Linked DNA regions of Cricetulus griseus. The protein of the gene in region 1 purifies or fractionates together with the protein of each later gene. This does not show direct contact. Links are inferred from orthologs where the notes say so. Each region holds a gene or a part of one and is shown on either strand. Other genes may lie near its edges. The genes, in order: Tcp1 and Wdr5.

What was found.
Region 2: the proteins of Tcp1 (region 1) and Wdr5 purify together in Homo sapiens (affinity purification with mass spectrometry; 3 studies listed by BioGRID and IntAct, with this or other methods). This does not show direct contact. The link is inferred for Cricetulus griseus from reciprocal best matches to the Homo sapiens genes TCP1 and WDR5.

Annotation. Positions count from the first base shown.
Region 1 is NC_048595.1:288,140,859-288,143,892, reverse strand, and holds part of Tcp1 (T-complex protein 1 subunit alpha), read left to right. Parts: exon of another isoform or gene 1-17; intron 18-108; coding exon 109-219; intron 220-578; coding exon 579-760; intron 761-1,339; coding exon 1,340-1,466; intron 1,467-2,790; coding exon 2,791-2,966; intron 2,967-3,034. UniProt on the Homo sapiens protein: Component of the chaperonin-containing T-complex (TRiC), a molecular chaperone complex that assists the folding of actin, tubulin and other proteins upon ATP hydrolysis.
Region 2 is NC_048599.1:139,208,766-139,212,588, forward strand, and holds part of Wdr5 (WD repeat-containing protein 5), read left to right. Parts: exon of another isoform or gene 1-2,755; intron 2,756-2,763; coding exon 2,764-2,839; intron 2,840-3,557; coding exon 3,558-3,591; intron 3,592-3,823.

The DNA.
Region 1 (3,034 bases):
TGGCTGAACATAAAACCATCGCCCGATATTTCACAGCGTGTTGGATGTGGTGAAACGCAAAACCTCTGAGTGATGTTTTTATATTTTTCTTTGCCGTTCCTTTCCCAGGGAAGCAGTGCGCTATATCAGTGAGAACCTAATTATTAACACAGACGAACTTGGAAGAGACTGTCTGATTAATGCCGCTAAGACATCCATGTCTTCCAAAATTATTGGAATGTATCCTTAAATGTTCAGTGAAATTTGACCCTAACCCCCTTTCACTCTTAAAAATTAGACTAGGCTTTTATAGAATGTCAATTTTATGCAATAAAATTTATAATTCTTATCTAATGCAACTTGATCTTGTTAGAGAAAAGTGACTGAAACTGCTGCTGCCACCCCAGCCTTGCTGTGGTGAGAGGGTGGTTTGGAGTGCAGATGGTGCTGCATAGAGGGAAGTCACCCTGACTATAGTAGTACTACTTACTGTCTTCCATTGGTGAATTGTCTTGCTAAAAGAAAGTCTAGTTGAATTGCTTTTTGTGTCTTTGGGTCTTTTATTCCAAGACTATTGCTGTCCTTAACTGTTGTCTCAGAAATGGTGATTTCTTTGCTAATATGGTGGTAGATGCTGTACTTGCTGTCAAATACACAGATCTGAGAGGCCAGCCTCGATATCCAGTCAATTCTGTTAATATTCTGAAAGCCCATGGAAGAAGTCAGGTAGAAAGCATGCTGATCAATGGCTATGCACTGAACTGTGTGGTGGGATCTCAGGGTACGTAAGGGTCAGCATTGTTGTTTGTTGGTTTAGTTTTGTCTATCTGTGTATTTTTCATAGTATACATCTTTTATTTATTTGTTTGTTGGTTTGTTACACATACAGTGTTCTGCCTACCTGCCAGAAGAGGGCACCAAATTGAATTGTAGATGGTTGTTGTAGATGGTTGTGAGCCACCATGTGGTTGCTGGGAATTGAACTCAGGACCCCTGGAAGAGCAGTCAGTGCTCTTAACCTCTGAGCCATCTCTCCAGCCCCTTAGTATACCTCTTAATAGGCTGTAATATTTGTGATGAGGGTGGGCATTGTGATACAGGCATTTAATTTGAGCACTGAGGCACTGTTAAGCCTTGTCTACATAGTGAAACCCTGCCTTTAAAAAAAAAACAATTTTTTATTTTGTGGTGGGTATAGATTGAGAGGAATTGTGTGCACTTGCAACTGTCAGACTTTATTAATGAATTGCTATCTTAATTTGGTTTATATATAACGTGAACTTTTCCTGTTATGGTTTTAAGGATAAGTCTCTTCTATGAACCCTAGCATTGTTATAGTTAACCTTTTATTCATTTACAGGCATGCCCAAGAGGATAGTTAATGCAAAAATTGCATGTCTTGACTTCAGCCTGCAGAAAACAAAAATGAAGCTTGGTGTGCAGGTGGTTATTACAGATCCTGAGAAATTGGACCAAATTAGACAGAGGTATGTGGGGAGACTTGCCTGTGAAAAGGTGTTTGTAAATCAAGGTTTGTGCTTGGTAGAAGTATGATACAAAATAATAGTAAAGCCAGGCATGTCCTATCTTTACATGTCTGAAACAGGTAGATCATTTAAGCTGAGGAATTGTAGTCAACATGGGCAGCAGAGTGTTGCCTTGAGTGTTAGATACTATGTAGGGCTGCTATAGTTCTCATGTAAGATACTATGTACTACTATAGTGTGACACAGCTGGTAGTGATTGCTGTGGCATCACTCCAGCAGACATGCTTTATTCCATTTTACTCTGATGGGATTGCTATTGTGTAATTGGACTGTGACTGACCAATATGTTGTGTAGATGTGATATGGGTTCAATAATTGATTTGTGATCTCATATATATTTGCTTATGATTTTCATGCTTCCTGATGAGTTCATCTGACACTTGTTAGAAATGTACACAAATGAGCCAAAGCAGTGGTGGCACGTGCCTTTAATCCCAGAAGACAGAGGCAGGGGAGTCTCTTGAGTTTGGGCCAGCCTGGTCTATAGAACAAGTTCCAGGACAGCCTGGGCAACACAGATAAACCCTGTCTTTAAAAACAAACAATGAATGAATTGTCCACTGATGAACTCTGGTCAAGCTGTCTGTCCTTGATAGATTACTTATCTCTGGAGTCTTTTCATCTCTCCAGACATTTTCATCATAGGCTCAGCCGGGTGGTGGTGGTGGCGCACGCCTTTAATCCCAGCACTCGGGAGGCAGAGGCAGGCGAATTTCTGTGAGTTCGAGACCAGCCTGGTCTACAAGAGCTAGTTCCAGGGCAGCCTCCAAAGCCACAGAGAAACCCTGTCTCAAAAAAAACAACAACAAAAATACAAAACAAAACAAAAATCATAGGCTCATTTGAAAAAAAATGCAATTTGACCATCATAGCTGTGCTTCAGAACATTAAGCATCTTCACCATCTACTGTTGAATATACTGTTTATACCTCTTAAGGGTTTTCATTTCCTGGTCTTATGTAACTTCTAGTTCAGCGCTGAACCACTTTTTTATTCTACAGTGTAGGACTGGATTTGTGTGTCTCTTACTTGTCTCTTGTCTTGACTTCATACAGCTTTAGTGATGCTGACTTGGGATGATCATTAGTAATAAATCTATTGCATCTTTAAGTGGGAGAAGACAAAGGGGGATGTTTATCATTTTGGTTTTTTTCCCTTTTTTTGCCACCCTTAATTAAGAACTCAAATTGTAGTGAAAGTTACAACTGCATAATCTAAAATACTGAAGTTGTTAATTTTGGTTTACTGAAACATTTCTCTGTAGAGAATCAGACATCACCAAGGAGAGAATTGAAAAGATTCTGGCGACTGGGGCCAATGTTATTCTGACCACTGGTGGGATAGATGATATGTGTCTGAAGTACTTTGTGGAGGCTGGTGCCATGGCTGTTAGACGAGTTCTAAAAAGGGATCTCAAGCGTATCGCTAAAGCTTCTGGAGGTATGTCTTCTCCCAGCCTGAGACAAACCACTTATTAGTGATGTATGTGACTGGGTCAGAAGTCTTGA
Region 2 (3,823 bases), on another chromosome or scaffold:
AATGCCTGAATTGTCAGAGAAGACAGGAACTCATTCTCAATTGGAGTTTAGGTGGCCCAGCAACAAGCATGAGCTGGATGACTTCTAACATTTCTCTGGCCTGCAGATGTCATGTACACCCTTGTGTTTCTCTGTGCTCAACTGCTTCATGACATGCTTACATTTAACACATCCCACTATTACCATCACATGTGTGATATTCTCCCCAAATCAGCCAGTTGTTGTATCTCTAGATGGGCTTCATGAGTTTGGGGACACAGTTCACCCTGGGATAATGACTTTTGGGGGGGGTGGATAATGACTTTTATGCTTTTCTTTCTATGTGGAACCACCCTTGGGGCTTCCTGATTTCTCAGAGCAGTCACAGATGTTGGGTAGTAATGTCCTGTACATGCCACTCCCAGTCCTCTATACCAGTACCTCTCTGGTGCTAAGTCATACAGCAGCTGCTGCAACACATACCTAGTGCTTATGTTACCACCTTGTAACCGTCTGCAACCCTGTGAACTGAGGACAAAATCCCTGCCCACAGGGTAGCATCTTAGGTACAGAGGTCAGCTAGCTGGGAAGCAGCATAGCAGGTCCGTCATCCCTCAGTATTTGTGGGAGAAAGACCTTCCATGGAACACAAAGTCCTTGGATGCTCAGGTCCCTTATTTGAGATGATGCAGCATTTACAAGTGACTTGTGCATTCCTCCTGTTGTTTAACTCTTGAGGTGGTTTAAAGTACTGGGTGTGTGGATGTAACAGATGCCAGGAGGTGGCTGCTGTACTACACTGTTGGAATGATGTGCAGTAAGTAGTAAGGTATATATCCAGTTCAGGTGCAGCCATCATAGGCAGCTCAAAGAGGTTGACACAGGGTGGTGAATGCTAGAGTTACTACACTCACAAAAAAAACCGTTTTGTGACTTCCACCATGGCGTACTACAGCCAGGGCCAGAAGGTGCAGAAGGTGATGGTGCAGCCCATCAACCTCATCTTCAGATACTTGCAAAATAGGTCTCAGATTCAGGTGTGGTGATATGAGCAAGTGAATATGCGGATAGAGGGCTGTATTATTGGCTTTGATGAGTACATAAACCTCGTATTAGATGATGCAGAAGAGATTCACTCTAAAACAAAGTTAAGGAAACAACTGGGTCGAATCATGTTGAAAGGAGACAATATTACTCTGCTCCAAAGTGTTTCCAACTAGAAACTCAGGCACGTGAGAAGTGGAAGAGGAAGTACAGTGTTTTTAAAGGTGTCTTCTGCTGGGAGCACAGTCGGAAACATTTATTCATATTGTTTTCGTGGCCCTTATGTTATTATCAGGTGACAATAAATACTGTGAGGTTGTTTTTATTACAAAAACAAAAAACAAAACAAAACAAAAAACTGTATTGTGTGCTTACCCCATCCCCCAGTACATACGTACAGCGTGTGTGTGTCTGTGTGCCATGCACACATGCGAGGTCAGAGGACAGTTTTCAGGAATTAGATCTCTTCTCCTACCATGGGTTCTGAACTCAGGTTATCAGGCATATCAGTTGTTGGTTAAACTTTGGTCTGTGGTGGACAACCAGGTTGCAGGGCAAGGATTTAAATCTGGGCAGGCAACGGGCAGTAAGCCCTAGACTGAGGTAAGCAGGCCTATTTGGCCCAAGGTCTCTTTCTCTTCCCTGTGTCTCTTCGGGTTTAAAAACTGATTTTCTTTAGGAAGGGTTGGCATTTCAAGACAGTTTTTGTTTTGTTTGTTTGGTTGGTTTTTGTTTTGTTTTGTTGTGTTTTGTTTTTGTAGCCCTAACTGTCCTAGAACTCATTATAGATCAGAATGGCCTCGAACTCAGAGATCGCCTGCCTCTGCCTCCCCAGTGCTGGGGTTAAAGGTGTGGGCTACCACCACTTGGCTAGAAATTAAGATTATCATTGAGGCTTGCTTAGCACAGGTCAGTGATATTTCTCTAGGAATCTGTTTCAGATTGGCCTGGGGAAGAAGCACAGGTACTGTTCTATGTTGACTGATACTGAATGGCCTTCTGTGGCCTCAACTGGCCTCACTCTGTCATGTCCCTTTCAGTGTGTGTGATCAGTCCCACGGAACAGAGCCCTCTGCGAACCTCTGGTGGTAATGCGTGTGTCAGGATGCACTAGTCTTTGTATGCACATCTTAGGGCCTGGTATGATTCCTTGGCTGGCCAGGCAGGTCCACCCCAGGACACACCTTTCTCACCCAGGCAAGGGGCAGACCCCCCAAGGGCCCACTGTGAAAGAGGATATGACATCATTGTGCTCTGGAAAATAGTTTTTATGTGGGCAGTTTCTAGGAGGCCTGGCTCTTCAGCAGTGCTGCAGCCTCCCCACCTGCCTCACTGAATGCTGAGGCTAAAGTCAGTAGCCTGGTCTTCAGCAGGCAGAGGCATGACCATCATGAAAGGAGGACTTGCTTGACTGCAGAATGGGAATGTGTCTGCAGTACTACCCTAGGCTAGGCAGCTTTCTTCAAGGGGATCAATTGTTCAGCTCTGCTGGGAGCTTTGGGCCTCCTTTCACATGTGGTGAAGCCTCATATTAGCAGGGCACAGGGGTGAAGACTTAAGAACATGAATGACCAACAAAGGTGATGGGAAATGGAATGGCAGGCTCTTGGAGGGCCTTCAGGAGTAGTGGTAATAGTATAGGTGGCAGGGGCCTCACACAGATGTCCTCCTGCATGGGTGACAGGGAGCTGTCCTGCCTCTCTACTCTGCCAAGAGTCAGCCTGTCTTTGTTCTGTGCAGATGATGACAATCCTCCAGTATCCTTTGTGAAGTTCTCTCCAAATGGCAAATACATCCTGGCCGCAACTTTGGACAAGTGAGTGCTTTGGACACAACCTTCATGGGTGGGGTTCCTCTCTTCCAGTAGCCTAGTTGAGGTGTTTTACATTTGGGTATTAGTGCTTAGCCCTGGACTGTGGGCTGAGGGGCTGAAGAAAGGCTGTCCACTCCAGATAGTTGTAGTATAAGAAAGATTTCCTACACAGAGATGAGGCAGGACAGGTAGCCTCTGAAGGTCTTCTTGAGCCTCTGAGCTCATTGACTTTTGGTTTGTTTGCTTTCAGTGAGGGGCTGGAGCCCATGGCCTCACACATACTAGGCTGGCTTTAAGCCAGTTCTCAGCCTCTGACCCCCTTCTAGGTGCTCGTGTAAGCTGGTACACTGTATAGGGTCTTAAAGGAACCTTGCCTGCTCACCCCTATTGAGAGCTCCTGATGGATGTTATCCTGGTTAGCCTACCATTTCTTCCCATGGCCAGCATGCACCTCTGTTTGGAGGATGAGTGAGCAGAAGATGTTTCTGGAGCCCACGTGGTTTTCTACATTCTGCTTATGGCTAACCCCTGGTTTGGGGAAGACAGCCAGCAACCTCTTTTCTTCAGTCTGTCTCTGAACTACAAGTACTAGGGTCCTTGTGTTTGCTCTTGTGTGCCATGGATCCTCTATCCTGACACCCATGGTTGTTGGGAAGTGGTGGCATCAGAGGCGTGGCGGGGCCAAAAATGGGCTGCTCCTCACTCCCACTCTCTATTTCAGCACTCTGAAGCTCTGGGACTACAGCAAGGGGAAGGTGAGCTTCAGGCACGCGGCTGGCCTGGCTTTCTGTGTGCCAGCCCCAGGTAACAGGTTGAGGGGTGGTGCAGCAGACCCAGGAGTTGAAGCAAGAGAGACTAAGAGCCTATCCTTAGCCTTCAAAAGAAGACTTAAGTCTTTTGATACACAAGTTTGGTACAATTCCCTTTAAAGATGTGGGTTTATAAATGGCTAGTCTGCCTCTGGGCTTTGCCCTTGTATGTGTCGTT